3 linked regions of the Lepisosteus oculatus genome follow. The protein of the gene in region 2 interacts with the protein of the main gene of each other region in a pairwise test. Links are inferred from orthologs where the notes say so. Each region holds a gene or a part of one and is shown on either strand. Other genes may lie near its edges.

Region 1 (7,506 bases), on a different chromosome or scaffold from region 2:
CTCCTCCTCAAGAGGAATCCGTTTTCGACAGCACATGTGATCCCTTTCATGCGGTCGTTAAACGTCTCACCACAGGCTGATGCTCACTGCTCTGCCCTCCTGCTCAAAGAGGCTCCTTCTTTACTGTAATCAATGTCTCCTCCTTGCTGTTTTCCATGCAGAGGACATTAGTTTTCCCTGTTTTGCACTGCACAAGCATTGCATGTCCACTAAACCTCACTGCTTTGTTTTCAATGATGCATTGATATTAGCTTTTCATACTGTGTTTGATATTTTTTCTTTTAATGTGCACTTCATATATAATTTGATATATCACACATTCTATGGGATATGTGCATCTGATAATAATAATAGACAGCCACGACTCAGTTAATTTAAATAAGTCTTTATTGGCATACAATTTTCTTCAACTGCTTGATCCAGTATTTTGACTTTGATCTGTATTTTTAGCAAGACAACCCTATTTAAATAGGTATTCAATGTGATACAATTTTCTCATAGTTTATAGATTTAGAATTTCTCAAAATTTACTGGCTGTATTAAACACAGCAAGTGGGAATAAAATTCAGCATAATCGCCATATATGTGTGAAGGTAAATATTACTGTATTACTTAAGTTTTTTGTCAGCTTGGCTACCTCCCTAAATATTTAGGTATAGAATGATATATTGTTTCACTTATTGACTGTGAAGCATGGGTATCAAAATGTATTTCTTGTGAGCTCACGTCATGTTAAGATTTCACCAAAACAAAACTTTGTGCATATTTCAAGGGTGAAACGGGCCTCAAATGAAACTGTTCACAAAGGGAGCAAAATCACTGTACCCACCATTTACAGAAAGCCTGCAAAAAGACACTAGTAAGATTGTTCACAAACTGTTACTTTTACATCAGTATGAATTGGACTTTGTCATAAAACAACAGTTGGCGCACTGCCTCATCCATCATGAAAATATTCCTCAAATATCCCTTCCTCCACAAGGGCATTCACAGGGTAGCACTTAGAAATTCAACGGACCAAAAATGAAGTGGAAAAACAAGCTCTCCAAAGAGAAGGCGATAATCGTAAAAATGAAACCACGCACACAACCAGCGATATATAACATGGAAACCAACTTGTTTAATGAAATACCCTTCACCTGCCCGATGAATTACCGCAGTCTCGATAAAAACGTTTCTCCGCGCAGATGAAAAATAAAGAACAGAGACACGACAATAAATTTAAATAAATCAGAGCCTCGACCTATTGAGGTAATTTCACAGCCGACATCGTCCGAAACGTTTGCTAACCCCAGTAAAATACTGTAGCCAGACATTTAGCTGCTGGTGGTGGTTACCAAGTTACTGTATTTGGGCTGCGTGTTTTTTTTATTATCATAGGACAGAAAAGCGAGCGCTGTTACATGTCCCAGCTACTGTAACCCCACCAATTTTACAAGTAAACGAGATTATGCGTTGCAAAGCACCCTTTCCACTTTTCAGTTCGAGACACGCTCCCGTAATTGATTATGACACAGCGGCTGGATACCGGCTCTGATTTTGAGAACATAGTCCTGATTTGCCCGAGTGACATTTTACTCGGAGACTATGGAGTTAAGAGGAAGGATTTCTCTTTGCACAGGACAACTCCATTGTGCGCAACAGTGGCCTGCAAGGCAGCCAAAATTGCGTTTTAGGCTTAAGGAGGCATTGCGAAAGCTTGTAAAATCCCATGACAGCTGTACCTAATCCGCTACATCGATGAAATGTTGAGGACCGGGTATTTCGTTTATTTAATTCGGCGGTGAATTAAGACACCAGCAGTGACCGGTTAACAACCTACCCTCCATCGCTCTTCGAGAGGACTGGCCTCTCAATTTTAAACGGCGTTTATTAAAACGTTGAATTGCACCAATTAACCAATTTCGCTATTTACCGAGTAAGTGCACAGGTATCGTGTTGATAGCAGAACTTTCAAAAAGTGAAATGAAAAGTTTACGTTTAAAAGACTCGTCAAATATATATGAACATAGGGGTTAAAAACATGTAATTATTTTATCATTACATTAGAATATTCTTAAAATTACTTTTTATGACTCCTGTTTCCCGTCTCCAACCCTACCTTTGCTCTACGTAGAGTCGAAGTTCAATGCTAGGCTACTAAACTGATTAAACTCCTGTTCAACTCGCGTTGTGTAGAGACAATTGGTACACGACTGCACTGCTAAATACACGTTTCTGAGCAAAGAATATGTTGCAGGTCATGATCAATCCTCTGCCTACACGGTATAATTGTCACGAAATAGCTACAGAATAAACCCTGCGCTTGAAGTAAACACGGAGGACTTGAACTGCATTCTTCTCTATCAACTTGTCAGTAATGTTCATCGCATCACCCGCAACTGAAAGCGCAGCTAAAAAAAGCACGAAGGAAGTGATTAGTTCTCCTACAGCATATAGTTATTAGATCCGCATGCATAGATACATAACTAGCATGTAAAGGACGGAAAACAACCTGTATAGTTGCCTGCAGCTCGTTGCTATTCGTCATATGCGCACGCATGCTCCATCCAGAAACAGAATGACATCTGCGAGGGTTTAGACATGGTATACGGGTGTTGTGTGATTTTCAACTTTGCGCATATAATATCACAACTATGCATGGGGTCAATTTAGGAGACTAATCAATGGTACACGGGAGTTGTGAAAAGAAAAGCCGAGTCTCTCATAAGAAGCACAAAACTTCCAAAAACAAGACTTTGCAACAACGTGCAATTTCAACGACGGGCAGCTGAGTTACTGCACGCCGAGTGAGGGGGGACGTTGTGCTGGCAAGAAGTCCCTTGAACTTTTTTTGCCTACAAAAAGAAAAAAAAAAAACAAAATCGTTTCACCTTGTCATCAGGTGCCCTTGCAGAAGCCGCCATTTGCCTCGCCAGCCGCCGCGGAGGGACGAAAGGTGTCAGGGCTCCGATCCGCCAAACAGCAAAGCGAAAGAAAAAAAAAACACAAACCGGGCTTTTCAGGCACGTATTTGCCTGCCTCTTTACGAAAGCACGGCCACTGTCAAAATCCCACAGTAGGCGCAGCCAGACAGCAGTGCCTCCCCCACGTCTACCGCAGGAAATGACGACATGACTGACATGTGCTAAGCCACCATGCCCACACACCTCCCGACACACCTATGGCCTCGGCGAATCGCATTGCGCGGCTGGCCGGCGGAATTGCGCCGGCTAACCCCTACCCCCCCAGACACCGAAATTCAAACAGCTTGCCTTGTTGCTCCTACTGCTGGTTACAATCGGGCATTGCTGCCGCTGTCCTGAAACAGCACGGTAGCAGACCCTCGGCTTGAAGAGGGGTGCACGTTGAATTGTCGTTTTTTTTAATCACTTAACGAAGTTCACCCCCCCCAAAAAAAATAAAAAATAAATAGAATATACATAGTAATGTTATTTTTCTACATGAATGTTTTATCTACTTACAAAAGAGAGTGCATTCATTTAGGAAAACAAATGCAGATCTTTAACTCCTCCCTGTCACAGTCCATGGTCCCCACCTGCTTTAAAAAAAACACTATCGTTCCAACCCCCAAAAAGAAAAAAGTGACATGCCTGAATGATTACCGCCCAGTAGCATTAACATCTGTGGTGATGAAATGCCTGGAGAAGCTGGTGTTGTCACACATCAACTCCTCCATCACAGAGTCCCTGGACCCCTTGCAGTTCGCCTACCAGAACAACAGATCAGTGGATGATGCTGTCTCCCTGGCTCTGCAGACAGCCTTGGAACACCTGGACACTAAGAACTCGTACGTGAGAATGCTGTTTGTGGACTACAGTTCAGCATTCAATATTATCATACCCAGTCAACTGGTGACAAAGCTCATGGGATTAGGTCTGTGCAACTCTGTCTGCAACTGGCTTCTGGACTTTCTTATCGAGAGACCACAGCTGGTGCGGATAGGCAATAAAACATCAACACCACTCACCCTGAGCACTGGAACCCCACAAGGCTGCTGTCTGAGTCCAAGGTTGTACTCCCTATTCACTCACGACTGCACAGCAAGACACAGCAACAACCGCATCATTAAGTTTGCACATGACACCACTATAATAGGACTGATCAGTGATGATGATGAGTCCACTTACAGGAATGAAGTTGTACAGCTGCTTAGGTGGTGTCATAGCAATAACCTGGACTTGAACATAAAGAAAACGAAAGAGCTAATAGTGGAGTTTCGGAGACACAAGCCATACACTCACAGCCTACTCAGTATTGATGGAACGGAAGTGGAAACAGTCACCAGCTTTAGGTTTTTGGGAATTCACATCTCTAAAGATCTAACCTGGACTGTGAGCATGCCTCAAGCGATGGGGGATGCCAATACATGTGTTGGTGAACTTCTACCGCTGCACCATCGAGAGCATCCTCACCAACGGGATCACCGTGTGGTATGGCAACACCTCTTCGCGAGAAAGAAAGGCACTGCAGAGAATGGTCAATATGGCCCAGAAGATCATCGGCTGCGGTCTCACCGAGATTAAACAGCTCTATGAGGACCGCTGCCGTGGTAGAATTCTGGCCATCACAGAGGACAGTCACCACCCCGGGCATGAGCTCTTCACCCCACTGCCCTCAGGCAAGAGATATAAGAGCATACGGACACTTACCACTAGATTCTTCAATAGCTTCAATCCACAAGCAGTGAGACTGGCGAACACATTTAGCCATCCCCCTCGGACCACACCTACAGTACACCATCACCATCTACCTCTTTATGATTTCTTATCTGTTGCACATCTCCAGTCATTGTTTACACGTCTGTATTGTTTACATTCAAACTGTCTACATGTTTACTTGCACATTGTCTGTTTGTTTGTTTGTACATTGTCTTGATGCACTGTTTGCACTTTGTTTTGTTTTTTACACTTGTTTTACAATCGAGAGACTTTCTGCAAGTAAGAATTCCATTGTACCAGTACCGGTAACATATGGCAATTAAGTTCAAGTTCAAGTTCAAGATGACTGTATCGTAACCTGTCTGATGTTTGGCATAAGACGCTTCCTTATGAATTAAATTGATTTTAAAAAATCTGGATACCTGCCTAAATGGATATAGCTAATTAAAAATTAACACGATGGTTGACTGAAAACGGTTTGGTACAAATTAACAGAGCCCTTCTTAGTACACCAGCAGCCATACCCACTGAAGCTAAGCAGGCGTGAGCCTGGTCAGTACCTGGATGGGAGACCTCCTGGGAAAAACTAAGGTTGCTGCTGGGAGAGGTGTTAGTGGGGCCAGCAGGGGGAGCTCACCCTGTGGTCTATGTGGGTCCTAATGCCCCAGTATAGTGACGGGGACACTATACTGTAAACAGGCGCCGTCCTTCGGATGAGACGTAAAACAGAGGTCTGACTCTCTGTGGTCATTAAAAATACCAGGGCGTTTCTCGAAAAGAGTAGGGGTGTAACCCTGGTGTCCTGGCCAAATTTCCCATTGGTCCTTACCAATCATGGCCTCCTAATAATCCCCATCTATGAATTGGCTACATTACTCTGCTCTCTTCCCCACGGATAGCTGATGTGTGGTGAGCTTTCTGGCGCACTATGGCTGCCGTCGCATCATCCAGGTGGATGCTGAACATTGGTGGTGGTGAAGGGGAGTGTCCATTACCTGGAAAGCGCTTTGAGTGGAGTGTCCAGAAAAGCACTATATAAGTGTAAGCAATTATTATTATTATTATTATATCACCCTGCAACTCACAACTGGTAACCCACTAAAGCTAAGCAGGTGTGAGCCTGGTCAGTATCTGGATGGGAACCTCCTGGGAAAAACTAAGGTTGCTGCTGGAAGAGGTGTTAGTGGGGCCAGCAGGGGGTGCTCACCCTGCAGTCCATGTGGGTCCTAATGCTGTAAACAGGCACCGTCCTTCAGATGAGACGTAAAAAACTGAGGTCCTGACTCTCTGTGGTCATTAAAAATCCCAGGGTGTTTCTCGAAAAGAGTAGGGGTGTAACCCCGGCGTCCTGGCCTAATTTCCCATTGGCCTTTACCAATCATGGCCTCCTAATAATCCCCATCTATGAATTGGCTACATTAGGTGAGCATTCTGGCGCATCATCCAGGTGGGGCTGCACATTGGTGGTGGTGGAGGGAGTCCTACCTGTAAAGTGGAGGTAATGGAGTGTCCAGAAAAGCGGAATAAGTGTAAGCGATTATTATTACACCAATACTTAAAGTATAACCATGTACTGTATGCAAACAAACCAAATAATCTCATGTTCTACACAGTTTCTACAGAATAAACATTAAAGTTAAGATTGAAAAGAAGCTTAAAATCTGTAGCAAGCTTCATACTGTAGATTTATTTAAAACAGAAAACAGCCCAGCCACAACTAGTAAACCATGAGCCCAGTAGATTAATTATTTTTTTGTGGGCCATAGGCGTTCGTCTTCTGCAAATATTGCGAGGTTTAAATCAAAATCGTTGTTTTTTAATTGGCCGTGTAGTGGGGCTGTTTGTGAGTTATCCAGGGGAGAGTTATCCATTCTCTTTTCAGGGAACGTAACCGTGTCACTTTGGTTTTTTAACTGTTTCCTAAACGGTTCCTAAAATGAAAAGCAAAAAAAAAACCACACAGTCTGCAATGCCCTCCAGTTAATTCCCGTCCATTAATGGAATTAAAAAAAAAAAAAACAGGCAGGCTGATCCTTCTACAACTGTTATAATTTAAAAAAAAACAGTAGCTTTCAGAATTATAAAAATCTTTGAAACAAAAGTTTCACTTGCCATGGCGTCCATTCAATTTTCTATTACAATAACCACCACAATTAGGTTTTTACGTCCTACAGCATTTAACCAGAAACTTTTATACAAATAAAAGAGCACCTCTCCAAGTTCTGTCCAAATTTCAAATGAGGTCGCTGCCCATTTTTTTGAATTTGCAAAGTATTACACAATTCTTCGTCTGGATACCAGCAGATTTACCGTTCAACAGAGGTCTGTTACGAAATTAACTGATGTGACGACTCCATTTGGCTTTCTTATTGAGGTGCAGCACTGATGTACTGATGGTAACAGTCCAACGGCAAAAAAATAATAATTGTGTAATCAATGGTAAAGGTGGGTAAAATATCATCGTGATTCTGCAGAGTCCTTTTGTAGAATTACAGGAATGTAATCATGAGACTTTTGACGTTATGGTATTACTATTTGTTCTCAGAAAAATGACAATAATCACAGTTGGAATTTGCCAGTTGTGCTCTGGGTGGCCGTTAAACTCTCCTGTGCTTGGAGCAGACATCAGACAAACAACACCAAAAGCAGCCAGGTAAAACTGCAAACGAGTAAATAACATAACATTAAATATTTGATGTTATATGAACAGCATTTGTGACAATCTTGCCCTTATAACGATGTCTGTCAGATGGTTAAAGAACAGGTGAGTACTGCAGCATGCTAAGTCAGTTTTGACTGTTGAATCAGGACAGACTCTCAGCTGCAAGTCCTGAAATAAGTCTAG
Region 2 (7,914 bases):
ATTCTCCACCTGGGGTGCTGTCTGTGTGGAGTTTGCATACTCTGTGTTCGCATGGGTTCCCTCCCACACTCCAAAGCCATCCTGGTAGGTTAATTGGCTTCTGGGAGTGTTGGCCCTGGTGTGAGCGAGTGTGTGTCTACGTCTGTGTTTGTGTCTACAGTATCTGCCCTGTAATGTACTGGCGTTTCATCCAAGATGTGTCCTGCTTTAGCCCACTGCTTACCAGGACAGGCTCCGGCTCCCCTGTAACCCTGAACTGGAATACGTGGTAAGAAAATGGATGGGTGTACAGTAGATAAGTGTGTGGTTGTGTTCACACAGAGCATGGAAGACTGCGCTTGCTGGCCAAGGCTGCAGGTTCTCAGACATCATACTCGGCTTCAGGAGAACCAGCTTTTTCCAAACTATACTGAGCAGAGAAGATCGAAATTGCATTTACTTTTTGTCTGAGAGGGATTCAACTGATTGTAGAGGTCAGGATTATGCAAGCATTCAAAGGTAATATAATAATAAAGGGTATAATTATATATTACTATGTAAGGGCCACTTTTGACCTTGGTTTTACTCTATTGGGTCAGAATGTCACCCGGGTTCCTTGCAGCCAGCACCTGCACAGATCTGTGCTGAAATACCTGCCTGGCATTCTACAGCTGTGCAAAACTGCACAGAGCTGTGCAGGAATGCAGGGACCTGCATGAGGAAAAATGCAGCCTGTAATTCCAGTGACGATCTGGTGTAAGAGATAATAGTATTCACCGCAAATCGACGAGACAGCAGGGAAACTGCTGTTCCTAAAGAAGACCGTGGTGACAGCATGGGCTTCCAAGGCCTTTTTCAAGGATAACAGAACTGTCTCAGTTCACATCCTTCACGGAGCTTCTTCCTGCATTCAGATTCTCAAGGGCTGTACAATTCTAGTCCAGGATTGCACTGTAGGTTTTCATTCCTAACTACCTAGTTAATCTAATGGGCGGAGCTGTGGCGCTGTGGCTAAGGATCTGCGCCTGTGGCTGGAAGGTTGCCGGTTCAAATCCCACAGCCAGCAGAGGAATCCTACTCCTCTGAGCAAGGCCCTTCACCCCAACTGCTCCAGGGGCGCTGTACACTGGCTGACCCTGCGCTCTGACCCCCAGCTTCTCTCTCCCTGTCTGTGTCTCATGGAGAGCAAGCTGGGGTCTGCGAAAAGATTAATTCCTAATGCAAGAAATTGTAGAGGGCTAATAAAGTGATGTTATGTTAATGATTGGCTGAATTGGACCATCTTCTCCCAGTTTTCACGTGTCCTTGCAATGTTGCTAAACCTCAGGCAGGGTGGGGTTTTGACAGTGCAGCAAGATCACCCTCTGCTAGAGGCTCTAGGCACTGTGCTCATCAGATCAGTCACATTGCCCAACGAGCAAACTGGGCGGGAAGACGGAGGAATCGGGACTCACTGGTCGTACTGCGCCATCACTGCTGGGGGAAGTCTCCCTCGCTCTCAAGCACGGGGCCACTCCTGAGGTAGCAGGACACCCTGCCAGGAGAGGGGAGAGACACACAGAAACGCTCTATATTACACCATTGCACTGCCATTAGCACTGATGCAGGTAATACGTTGACCACTAGTATAATTTGAACACTTGTTACAGGTGCTTTTGCATCTTTTAGCATAACATGAGGAACAAATCCATTACAGACAGCGAGAGTAGTAGCCGCGGCAGTAGAAGCAGAGATGGCGGCAGTCACGACAGCAGTGCAGGGACCAGTAGATCACTAGCTGTAGGTGAAGGTGTGGCAGGAGAAACAGCAGCTGCAGAAGGGTAACTACCCGCTGTGGCAGCTGCAATATCAAGTACATAGCTTCAGTAGTGGTGTTGGCACTAGTAGCAGAAGTGCAGGTGTCCTGGTCCTGATCCTGGGAACCCAAACATCTGCTGGGTTATATTCCACCTGAGCGCTCAGTTAAGTAATTGAACCCTTAACACACCTGATGATAACAGGTGTGGTCTGAACTCGTCGTTTGCAGTTCCTAAACATGGAGGAGGTTGTCTGTTAGCCATTGCATTTAAGTAACACGAGGACTCCAGCCTTTCAGCAGACAAGCATAGCTTGGCGGGGTCCTGGCCCAGCGACTTGTTGGTTCAGTTAAGGGCTCATTTGAGTAAAGAGCTCAGCTGCAACAAACGCCAGCAGATCCCCAGGGTCAGGATTGGGAAGCCCTGTCATGGAATAAAGATAGCCCCGATAGTAGCACACGGTGAAACTGGGAACTGGGATAACGAAGCCTTGGGCAAGCTGAAAACAATTCCTCATGCGGAGCGCTCCTCCTGTGTTACTGGCCGCCGGCGCGAAGGGAAGGCGGGTGTCGTTCAGGTCGACCAGTCCGAGGACTGACCAGCACTCCTCCAGGTCGGCCCAGCCTTGCCAGCCCAAGGAGAACAACGGGAATAAACAGTTTCCAAACACTTCTTTCTCCCGATTGTACACCAATGAGCTCTGCCCCGCTCTCTCTCTCTGTGTGTGACTCGCGCTCAGACTGCTCTGCTCTATTCCTGGTTAGGGGGTAACCTGATCTCCACATGACTAAAACCGGAGCATCGTGGGCCCAGGAGCCCAGATTGAATTACAACAGTAACGCTCTAGAACACTCACTGGGGTGTCCGACTGGAGCTTAATCTCAGAGCATTAAAGATTGGACCAGAGCTACACACGGAGCATTTTAATCAAGCACCTCTCCTAACCCCAGTCAGCATTTCTGTTTCGCCTGTGCAATCGGAGAGACTCAACAGGAACGATTCCTACAAGAAGAGGAGCCGTAGGGGGTGTCCAGCTCTGAAGCCAAAGCAAAATACACGAGCCCCACCCGGGGGAAAAAAACACAATCCTCTCACCTCCTTGGGATTTCTCTTCCCCTCTGTGGCTCTAGTCTCTTCAGAAAGGAATCGCCAATTGGAAATTCCTGCGCGGTTTCCAAAGGGGCTCGAACTTGCCAGTGATATTAACACCAGCAGCGCAGTCCGGCACAATTTTGTCCCTGGGTTTTGCTGTGGTTGACTCTCCAAATGGCCCTTCCAACAGGAGGGGTGTTTTTGAAGCCAGAGGACCAGAGTGTTGTGGAGAGGGGGGTGCGCGCGTGTGCAGAGGAGTCAGGAACAGCTGACACGGATTGAGCAACGAGGAGCTGACACCAGGAAATCAGACACCTCTGATGGGACAGGCTAGGGGTCTGTCAGAGGGAGACAATCCCCACCTTTATCATGTCGTTACTGTGAAAGAACTAACAATTTGCCAACAGGTTGTCAAGGATTATTTCAGACTCTCTAGACAGACCACATTTACTGTATTCATTGCTTATTAACCATGAAACAAAGAAACACCGACAGGGAGACCAATGCAAGAACAAACACAACGTGTTCTAAAAAGCGTACTTAGCACAGGTTAAGTCAAGCCTCCTAACCAAAATCTTGATCACTGATGGCCAGGTTCAGGTTTCTATGGAATCAACACTTTTACCTCCTACTCTAAATTTCAATCAAGTTGGGTCAAAGCTACTTTATTAATCTGGTCCAAAACCACCAATCTTTCAGCAATAAAGGAAATGTACAGCCGATCAGCCACCTGACCTAAAACACTCCAGTGTGTGATGGGACAGATGAATACAGACGACATCTCATTATAATACATTTATCTAACCTTTTCTGGACACTCCACTCAAAGCGCTTTACAGGTAATGTGCAGCCCCCCCGGGTGATGAGACAGCAGCCATAGTGCGCCAGTACTCTCAACACACATCAGCTATCAGTGGGGAGGAGAACAGAGTAATGAAGCCAATTCATAGATGGGGATTATTAGGAGGTCACAATTGGCGAAAGCCGGGGAAAATCTGGCCAGGACAACACCCCTACTCTTTTTGAGAAATGCCCTGTGATTTTTAATAACCACAGAGTCAGGATCTCGGTTTTACATCTTATCCAATGGATGGTGCCTTTTTTACAATATAGTGTCCCCATCACTAGACTGGGACATTAAGACCCACACAGTCTGCAGGATGAGCGTTCCCTACTGGCCCCACTAACACCTCTTCCAGCAGCAACCTTTTAGCTTTCCCAGGAGGTCTCCCCTCCAGGTACAGGCCAGGCTCACACCTGCTGAGCTTCAGTGGGTTGGATGTCTGTCAAACCCGCAGAAAAACGGGGCCCAAACCAAGTTCCAGATCTAACCAAAGCTATAGAATTCAAAAACACACATGCCCTCCAATTACACTTACCTCAGCAGGACAATGTCTTATTGATGTTGCTAAAGCATGGCACCTTGATTGAGGTTTCTCACCTGCGCACCTGATCACTTGTGCAGGATGGCTGCTGGAGGGAGTGCACTTCAGTGTCTGGAAGTAGGTGCCTTCCCGCATATTAAAGGCTTCGAAGGCATTTGGGGAGGAAAGTGCTATACAAATTCAACGAATCATGGTCATACTAATCTTTGAGAGACAGGTGTGACTGGCACCCCTGGACAATGGCTTCCCCAGTCCGTTCCAGTGTCTTTACCACAGGATATCAATCTCAGGGCTGGTCTGACCTGTCAATACAATGTCTACTAGTTTCCACTCCCCATTACCGCCTGTTAACAGCGTAAGGCTCCACTTCCCAGGAGCTTTCAGGTCTTTGTTAGACCCCAGGCAGTGATCATGCAACCAAACTGATTATCCTTTGACCTGAACTATTTAAATACTTCTCTACAGATCTTTATAAACATACATATTAACATTCCCTACAAAGCATAAGTTTCTAAATCAGAGACTGGTCAATAACTGGATCAGTATGAATTGAAGGGGAGGGTGTGGGAGGAGCAGACGAGGTCTATAGCCTTTCTAAAGGAGCCGTTGCAGACAAACTGGCTGGGACCACACTGAAAGCATTTCCCCGATTCTGGCAGACTTGGTTTTTGCTTCTTCTTGGAAGAACTCTACGACACTACGGATTGCTATGGCTTCAGTCCAGATCAGCTCCTCTTGGGAACCCTCTTTCCCACTTGCCTGCTCCTTAAATGTTTGCTCATGTTGCAAAACCTACCCACTTAAATCCCCCTGCCCATCTCATAATTCAGTCTGGGGGGGAATTTCTCACTCGCGCTGGTGCAGGGCGGCCAGGTGGGTGCAGCACTGCAGAGGGAGATGATGTGGCTCCCCCCTGTGTGTGAAGCACACAGGACCATTTGTGGGGGGGGGGCAGAGATAAATGCAAGCAAGTATAAGCAATGTGGAAACTATTTGAAAAAAAAAAACATCATTCTATTCTTGCTTACTCACGTTTAGGGGTTGTGGTCATCAGTTTCTACAAGTGTGTCTTTTTTAGGAATATGAGCTTGAAAAACAAACCGAGTGAGTTTTAGGTTGCGAACACTAAACAATACAGTTCAAGCACTGGGCAGTAACTGATCCATTACAATAAAAAGATCATTTTAAATGGAAACTTTGGGAGAAACTGGCACTTCTGCAAGTCTGCCTTTAACAAATGCTCTTCTGGATGTAGGCTTCCACTGAATTCCTCCAGAGCACTGTTCGAAAGAGAAACAGGAGGAGTGGGGAAAAAAGAGAGACCAAACAGGCAGGCAGGGTTTTTTTTTCACTTTTATATTTTTAAAAACAAAAATAACAGATTAAATAAAATTTACAGTAGACATATGCAATCAATTGTGCACTTTTTAAATACTTCTTCTGATACGTTCTGCACAGCTGTCAACGAAAAACGCAAACACAAGAAAGAGAAAAGATCAAGGAGGAGGAGCAGGAAGATGGAGGAAGAAGAGGCAAGGCAGGGGAAGGGGAAAGCGAGGGGCTGAGAATGAGCAGGGCGAGAGTGTGTGGTGAGGACGGGAGGGATAAACTCTTCCACTGAAATCACTGAATATATATATTTTTAAATCCTTAAATCACTTATATAAATATATTCAACCAAAAAAAAACAGAAAACAAAAAAACGAAAACGAACGAAGAAACAGAATAAAGAAAAGATCAACAGCGCAGCACATGAAGCCACAGCAGTAGTAAGGCAAACAGAAGCCAACGGAGGCAGCCAAGAGAGAACGAGAGAGAGAGAGAGGTGTGCGCTACAGTGAGAGAGAGCGAGAGTGCGCCAGGAGAGGGAAGAAGTCGTGAGTATGAGTGAGAAGGGAAGGTGAGGGTGCAAGAGACCGGGAGTTTGAGTAGAGAAAACAGGACAAGGGGGAGGTAGCAGAGGAGCAGAAAATAAAAGATGGAGGACAAGTTTGGGGGGTGGGGTGGGGGATTGTGGGTAAAGTGAGGTCGACTGTCCAGTGTGTCCTCGTGTGCGCCGCGCGTCGGGTCATCGTACGTGCGTGTGGGTGGGTGGGCACGCGCACACGGTCAGTAAATGCTCCACACACATACGCGCATCAAACCGCACGCATGCTCGCGTGTCTTGTGTGCTCTTCTGACAAAAAAAAAGACCCAAAAAACAAAGGTAAATAAAAAAAAATAGAAAGTTGGAGTACGCCAATCTGGAACTTCTCCTCCCTTTTGTCGAGACGATTCGTTTTCCCCGCCGCGACCCTGCCCCGCTGCCCTACTGCGAGCTGGCCCGCTCCAGAATCCGCAGGTCATAGTTCTTTTTGGTGGCGCGCAGCTTGAAGCGGCTGGTGGAGTTATTGAGTTTGAAGGAAGCGCTCTGGGCGGCCATGGTGCTGGGGAACACGGCCACCACGGTGTAGAGGTGCGCCGGGTCGTTGTCGCCCTTGCCGCCCCCGCCGTCGCCCCGGCCCTGCGTGTCCTTCAGCCACTGGATCTTGGCGCCCGACATGGCCAGCTGGTTGAAGAGCTTCTCGGCCTCCGTGCGCGTGATGCCCTCGGGGAGGTCCGTCACCTCCAGCACGCGGCTGACCACTGCAGGGGGTGGCACAGAACACAGGCAGGCTGAAACCTCACCTCTCTGCCACCGCGGCCCACTAATCCTTCAGCCGCACGCGGCAAACAGCCCATTCGGACTGGACGGGGGAGCCTGCAGAAAGCCTCCTGTTGACATGCCCGTGATCCTAACCTTCTCCCCCAGGAAAAACTTTGCCCTCCTCCTCCCTCAGTCATACAAGCATGAAGGCGGCATTTTTTATTTTTTTACTGCCAATTCCCATAATTCCAGATGAGAAATTTGTTGTGATGTCCTTATTGAATCATGTCAAGCATTCCTGGATTCCTGGAAAGGCCAGAAACATTTCCATGATGCATGGGTGTCACTGACCAATCTTTCCCATACAGGCTTTACAAAGGAGTTTGCAAGACTGCTCAACGCCCTTATTACCTCAATACAATTTACCAATAATGCAGAGGAACAGCCCTTTTTACAAGGTCTGGTTTGTCTTAGAATGACACACTGGGTAATTTTGGTAAAAGTCGAGCGAGGAAGACAATAAGGATGCTGGGAAAGGAAGCAGGGACCTAATGGGAAACCACAGGTGAGGTTAACGAGGAACGGCACCTTTAAAAACCCAAGGGCACTGGGAGAAAGGTCAGAGCCTCACCTAAATCGTTGGTGCCCAGGTCTGTGGATGCTGATTTCAGGGTCTGTCGCTTCCCTCGCGTGCCATGCTTCATTCCAGTTTGTCCCTTTAGCAGGAAAGACAGGCGTTGAGGAAAACCACAACATTCTTCGGGATTGAGCTAAGGGACCATCCCTCCTGAAGGGGGCTCTGCAGTCTACTCTGCCTTTTCTGGTGTGTGTCGCAATACTGTACAGTCAGAATAATAACACAAGCTTCTCTTTTTCTTGCCTTCTTTAAGGTCAAAGACTTGGCAGATGCTCAGAGCACAGTGCACACGGGCACTCTAGAAATCCTATGGCAGAGAGCAGCCACACCAACAGACCAGGGATCTGTGTGGCACAGGGCGGCAAGTCTCACCTGGTGTGTGGGATACGAGGACTGGCT
Region 3 (7,122 bases), on a different chromosome or scaffold from region 2:
GGGACAGAAACTGTGTGGCCTTCCAAGTGTACACAGTGTTTCAATTCCAGAAAACAGTACCAATGATTAATTATATTAATATCATTAATGTCAGGACAGATTCACGGGAAATGTACAGGTATTTCTCTACAGTCAGAAATTCCAGTGAAATGGTTTGATTTAGACACGAGACACTACCTGGATGGCTGGGTTGAATGCACATTTTCCCCTCAGAAGAGCTGCCCATTTGGCCATTAGAGCAGGTTGATCCTGGCAAGCATGGTGAAGTCAGAGAGTCAGAGAAGAGGACAGTATTGAGTAAACAGGGTTTTTAAACCAGCATTTTTAGTAAAGCTACAGCTACCGTTACGTGTTGAAATTCTGTACATCTTACTACCTTAAACATAACCCCTTTGGAGATACTTGTGCCCCAAAATTGACATTCTACAGTATGCAGTTATTATAGAACTTCTAATAAACACTGGCCATTTTAACGTACATGATAATTTGGGTTTCAAAGATAATATGGTCTCCATTTGATTTTCACAAAAAACAATTCTTTTCAGCAGGAATCCCAAGAAAGAAAAACACAAAGAAGACAGGCATGCTGGCAGTTTAAGAAAACCTCTATGGAGGGGTGTTGAAGGGACTGTTCTGGAATTAAAACTAGGGAGAGGAAGAAACCACATCCGAAAATGGCAAAACTCTGAAATTGGAGACTGAAAGCAAATAAAAGATCCAGAGAGTGCCTGGCATGAGCTTTGCAACTGCACACTCTAATTACAGGGCTGTCAATACGAATGTGCTGGATTTAGATCTAGTTAAGGCTGTTGATGGTGCCTGTAATTGTGACAACCTCTTTACTCCTATTACAGCAATGCAACAAAATACATTTACGGCAGAATTGGTATAAGCCAGACTTCTTAATTGTAAAATACTAATGTAGGCACATACAATAATATTAATTTGAATTTCTTCTACCTTATTTTCTTCCAGTAATACATTACAGTCATTACGAATGTCCTTTATTAATCTGTGGCTAGTATTTGGGTCCAACCTTTGAGGCACTACCCTGCTTCTCAGGTAACATGGTAAACAAGTTATACAGATGTACCAAAAAGGATATATAAAATGTACCTTTATATTATCATTGTGGACACCAGAGTTGGAGATGCTCTGAAATCGGCCATCCTTGGTGCTCACCTCTGAGGTCAGGTCCTTGATGATCTGCTGAACCTCGTCCACTGTCTTGGACACCTGACGGTGTCGGAGATCCACCTGCAGAAAGGGGCATTCAGAGCCACAAGGCCACAGGAAACCTACCATTCCCTCTGCTGGGAAAGTGCCAGAGCTGCTGGCATGTTCTCAGTTTGTCGGCCAATAGCAAACTCTCCAGGAACATTATTCTTTGCCATTCTTGCCTCTCGGCCCAAAACCTATCACACAGCCACCTCCTCAGCCCACAATTACATTGATAAAGTTTACTCATACAATACGGTGTGACATACAACAGCAATGCAAACTAAAAAACGTAAATCATTTTATCAGAAAGTTTTTAACTGGACGTACTGACTACCAGCAAAAAAAAAGCAGAGTTGAGAATATGATTTGTTTTGTTGTAATGTAACAAAACCAATGTTATGATACAATAAGAATGTCATTCACGAGACAGAGCAGGGGCTTAATGACTGAACCGTTATTTTTCAGCTTGAAAGGAAAATAAGCAGAACAAATGTTATACTGTAGGTTATCAAAAAAGCTAGGGTGGGTGTGCATTACATGTACCTTTAAATGAAGTTTAGAATTACGATAAATGACTTTTGATCAACATGTTGAATAAGGTATTTATGATATTCAAAGTTTAAGTCAAAAACTGAATTTAATTAATTTTATTTCAGTTTACATGCAGTTGTAATACAATTTCCATTACCACAGTTTCCACATGACCACTCTAACTCTGGGTTAAGAAAAAGACAAACATTTGTTATTTTTAAGTTTCTGAAGTGCTGTTCCATCAATCACCTTCTTCTTTTCTTAAACGATAAATTACATTTATACAAGGAATATACAGTACATTATTTATCTTCGAAGGCTAGCTCATACTTATTTTTATATTTTGTTCTTTTTTCAACATGTTTTTTTTATGAGGTGTTGATTGTTTACATCTGTACTGATGTATTGGCATGAAAGACCCTACTGTGTATAAAATAAAGGTTTAGTATTAGAGTGATAAATGCAACATCTAGCCATACAAAAAATACTGTTACCTGTTTTAGATAATTTTATATTTCATAAAGTCATATCCTTAATTGGTGTTCAAAATAATGTTTTTTATTGCTCAAATAAAATTAAAGGAAAGTTGAGACTAATTAAAGGATTAGGTTAAAATAGACTGGGTAATTGGGTAGTATTTGCTTAATATAAAATTTGGTAATTGGGATTGGGTAAATAATCTGGAACTTGCCTTGCAATATGACACACCTTATATTTAATTCTTCATTAAATATCATTGTAATGCATATATGCAAATATTTCCTGATTGATACCAAATCAACTATTGGATAATAAAATACTGATCACCACATTGCAATCCTCTAGTACAATACTGGTCACTCTTGCAGAATCAATGAAATACATAAATACTGTACACATCATGCAGCACATTTACACATTGTTGTATATTGAGCAGCTACAATCCTAATCATTTTAGAAAGAAACCTGATAAAATAGTCTTTCTGATAATATAATTTTATGTAATTTATTAAGATTACAATCTTACCACACCCTGAGCCAATTTATTATATTATATTATATATTATACTGCATTAACTGTATAAATAAAGTAGTAATGTTTTAACCAAAAGAGACACAAGAGAGGGAAAGAGAACATTAAATCATTTTAAAATATTTTTTTCCAAAAAAGACTTCAGATTATTTACCTGGTTTTGTAGGAAGTTGTCCAAGTCTTCCTCTGTAAAACCTGTCATTTCACACTCTGCTTGTATTTTGGTTCACTTATGTGCTTACTGTAGTTCTGTGTGATTCTTGTTGCTTTGTTCTGGGTAAATAATCTTGCTTCTCACAGATGTGTATCTCACTCACCACAAGCTTCAATGTGGCAATGCGTTTAACACCAAGCCAAAAAAAGGGAATTGAACATTACGTTATTGATTAAACACCATTGACTTTAGGAATGAATGTGTTCTCATGGTCCCTTAGTCCTCCAAATCATACTATCAAACTATCACCCATTAAAACAACACAGAACATTAGCAACCAGTTACTAAAATCACTTTAAATACAATGCAATTTTCCTAACATATACAGGTACGTCATGCTTATGTATGCTATTGGTTCCATATAATATATAAATACATAATAAAAAATACTTAGCACAATAAATACAGAGAATAGAAAGGTGTTTGAGAGTAAATAAACTATAATACATTCTGAAGGTATTGAACGTGAATAAACTTTCTCTAACATTGATTAGCTTTATGAATACTACCATAGTTATGTGGAAATCTGAAACATTAACTTGAGGTACAGTACATTTTACGGAGACTATTATCTCACCTGTTCTGTTTGACCTTTGGCCCTCTTTATACCTGCAGATACAACTTTCACAGTGGCATCAGCTAACATTTCAACACCAAAGGCTCTGTCACCTAGAAAGACGATAACATGCAAAATGCAACAATCAAGAGAACAGGTTCCTTCACTTTACATATTTTTAATATTGTAAACTGGAATGTGAACGAGATAAAAATTCTTTACAGCAAAGCCAGTATATTATTCAAACTGATGCCTAAAGGCAGAAAATAAACACCTGCCAAGATCTGTTGGAATCTGAGGTTTCACAACTTTTGACCTGACCTACAAAAACAGCTACTGGAGCTTTAACTCCACTTGAGCGACAGAGCAGCAGAGGCAGATGAACAGAGTCAAACAGAAAGGTCAGGGAAAGGGGATACTGATAACTTGTAAAACTATAATATAGAAAATATAGGAATGCATAGTCAGTACAATATCTAGTTAGACTTACAAAACCCACAAATCTGTGATCACACACACAGGAGCAGAGACTGATTATAGCAAAACCCAGATTATAGCATCATAAAAGGAAATCATTGTAGCCAACAGACTTAACCAGATAAGCTCATTAAGCAGAATGTAAATATCATAAACCACTTTATATTCCGATAATCTAGTCAACACCGAATGTCTCTAAATATACAGCAAACGTGCAGGTTACATTATGTACATGGGAAAACAGGACACCTGCAGTAGGTGTGGTGTGAACCAAACCATGGTGGGACTACACCCATGGGATGTTCTGGCGTACAGTATATAGTACCTGTTCACACCAAAACAAACAAACAAACAAACAAACAAACAAATGATGCAATAGGCTGACAGAGAATAATAATAAAACTAATATGTTCAAATTTAAAAGGGTCCCGAATGCATCAAACAGGAAAACTGAAGACCAACAGCAGACCAGAAGACCTGGATTGGCAGTAAACTCACTACTGTGGGACCATGATTTCAGTGGAGGTGAGAACTAATGGTAACAAATCAACAGTAATACTGTGCTTTAGACCCGATTAGAAACACTTAAGTCCTATTCTATCAACATCAGCTCTTTACATTTATGAAATCCGTACAAGACTGTGAGCAAAAATGTGTATGGCACAGTTAGAAAGCATGTCTCTCATATTCTATTCATGGTGTTTGTTATTACAATTAGAAATGAAAACTAAAAACATAGGTAACTCCAAACTTAAAGTATTTATCTTTCTTGGTTTCTTAACTAAATGGCATGTGTGATGTTACGTTAAAATTACATTAAACAAAGAACGTGTTGTTCTTAACTAAGCAATAATTTAAAATATATAGTAATGGAATGATAGTCATATGCTGAATATACCAGACTACATACCATACTGTATATACAGTATTCAGCTTAGGCAAACTATACTTAACCACGTACATATACAGTACAGCACATTTATAACTTATCACTTCCAAAGTGCACCCAATTTACATCCTGGTGGAATTATAGTGAATAACTTTTGTCCAGTACTCTGTCAAAAAGCTAGAGTTTATTCATCAGTTTATTATTTGTCTTAAGTCGTATTTAATGAGAATATAACCATTTTAAATTTAATTAACATTTATTGAGGAAACATCTGCTGTTTTACAGTCCAACATTATGATACATTGTATTTTGAATTTTTGAAGTAATGGGGAAAAACAGCATTTAGACAGAAAGATGGGGAAAAAACTCCTTTTATAGGTCAAGTCATGGGTACAGCAAAAACACATAAATGGAAACAGATAACAAATTAAGCTAGCATTTGGACCCAGGGGAACATTTTATCATAGCAACCTCTGCGCTGTTCAGTCCACAACAGTCACTTAGAGTGACTCACAATGATTTGGGATTTAGTCTAATTGATCATAAAGAGCAGCTAGCCTAAAACATCTGACTGTGTTGTCAACAACTGTAAACTCCCAATAAATACCATTAAAGGTTTATTTTTAGAATAATCATGACTTACTGTTTAGGGTGCTTAAAGTGTTACTTTAGGTTAGTTTAATGCAAACACATAATATGTATTAATAGATCTGCAATGATTAAAATACTGGCATTTCACAGTCTTACAGTAAAATAATGGTGACTACCAATGCACAGAGGATAAAATAACACAGAAAAGTACAATTTAACTAATGAACTGTTAAATAAATGTGAACACTACGCTGCCCTGCAAAATGTAATCCAGATGTTTTTGTGTCATTATGCTGTAATTTAAAGTGCTTGTGCTAACTTAAAGTTTGATGCAGACTTGGCAATATAGCAAGATTTTTCTTATTCAACAAATATCCATGTATTTTGAGCATTCAGGATGTGGACGTTTCTTTTTCCTTTTTATAAGAAGGATCTCAGCCCCTTCTACCTGTTTATCATCTGTACAAATGTATGTGTAAATTAGGCACTCCATCTACAGAGTGTTTGCGAATAGCAAGCGCATATCATGACTCTGGTTACTTTGTCCTTCAACATCATTTGAATGCCTTGCAGTGCAATTAGCAGAGCCATAACATTTAAATGAAATTTGTTTTTAGAACATGCACATGCATGTAGGGCTTGGAAACACTTCAGTCTGTGGTTTGTGTGTATGCTGTTTCCCCTTGAGCTTATACATGTCCTATCACACTACAGCCTTGTGTGAATCAGCCCCTATGCATTTAGTACACTTTTTAAGAAGGCTGATGTATAAGCCTGACTATTTCCATTTTATAGCATGCAGAACAGTTCAATGAACTTAACAGTTGGCTTACTTTTCTGAAGCAGGAAAAACAGGAAACTATCAGCGGTTGAGCACAGTAATGTGATCTGACACAGTCGATGCCATTGACTTCTGACCAGAGGATTTTTTTTTCTAAATTTGTACTCAAAGCCACTGAATTGATTACGCCCCCATTTCCAGCAGGAACGTATTAACTCACATGAAGCAATAATGTATCTGTGTGACTGCTTGTATAGGCTTCAGTCTCAGAAAAATATCCTTCCCTTATTAATACTGGTGTTCTAACTGTGGCCAGTCCCTGTACATCTGGGAATATGCTACAGATTTTAAATTATTCTAATTTATATTAGTTATTGGTAAAATAACATAGTTGCAAATGTTGTACTTTGGTCTTAATTCACATGAATCTGTATAGGGATCACAGTTATTCTTAATTTATATCACTGTTCTCAATTCTGGCAAAATTAATCAATAAATCATGGTCACAGATGATACCAAAATAGGTAGATTTGCGGGAAAAGACAGGAAAATTTAGAGACAATTCAAAAGTGAGCAATCTATTGAAAACACTTAGATGTTGACTCAGAAGATTATATTGACACTATTTCTATCTTTTAGAAAATCTGGGGGGACAATGAAAAAGACAAATTGTTTCAAAATGTGATTAAAACTGTACAATGTACTGTAAAATGTACTTAAAATTAAAGAATGCAGTAGTAAGACCTAATTTCACATTTTGTGCTCCGTTTTGGTTAATTACAAAATTGATATGACTCTGGAATCAGGTACAGGTATACTGTATGGTTCTGTGCTTTGAGGAATAAAAGTA

Evidence for each region.
Region 1: the proteins of stac3 (region 2) and pparab interact in a two-hybrid assay, tested with the Homo sapiens proteins (2 studies listed by BioGRID). The two-hybrid records come from large-scale screens. The link is inferred for Lepisosteus oculatus from reciprocal best matches to the Homo sapiens genes STAC3 and PPARA.
Region 3: the proteins of stac3 (region 2) and mab21l3 interact in binary tests that used the Homo sapiens proteins (3 or more experiments, as listed by UniProt). The two-hybrid records come from large-scale screens. The link is inferred for Lepisosteus oculatus from reciprocal best matches to the Homo sapiens genes STAC3 and MAB21L3.

What each region holds. Positions count from the first base shown.
Region 1 is NC_090702.1:4,311,560-4,319,065, forward strand, and holds the start of pparab (peroxisome proliferator-activated receptor alpha b), read right to left. Parts: upstream 3,097-7,506; 5' UTR 2,874-3,096; intron 1-2,873. UniProt on the Homo sapiens protein: Ligand-activated transcription factor. Key regulator of lipid metabolism. Activated by the endogenous ligand 1-palmitoyl-2-oleoyl-sn-glycerol-3-phosphocholine (16:0/18:1-GPC). Activated by oleylethanolamide, a naturally occurring lipid that regulates satiety.
Region 2 is NC_090696.1:18,375,657-18,383,570, reverse strand, and holds the start of stac3 (SH3 and cysteine-rich domain-containing protein 3), read right to left. Parts: upstream 3,093-7,914; 5' UTR 2,871-3,092; intron 2,454-2,870; exon of another isoform or gene 2,375-2,453; intron 1,514-2,374; 5' UTR 1,451-1,513; coding exon 1,434-1,450; intron 1-1,433. Other genes in the region: R3H domain-containing protein 2, read right to left, coding at 6,561-6,877, 7,510-7,594, 7,888-7,914. UniProt on the Homo sapiens protein: Required for normal excitation-contraction coupling in skeletal muscle and for normal muscle contraction in response to membrane depolarization. Required for normal Ca(2+) release from the sarcplasmic reticulum, which ultimately leads to muscle contraction.
Region 3 is NC_090710.1:33,057,165-33,064,286, forward strand, and holds the start of mab21l3 (protein mab-21-like 3), read right to left. Parts: upstream 3,072-7,122; 5' UTR 2,967-3,071; coding exon 2,919-2,966; intron 1,258-2,918; coding exon 1,117-1,257; intron 250-1,116; coding exon 178-249; intron 1-177.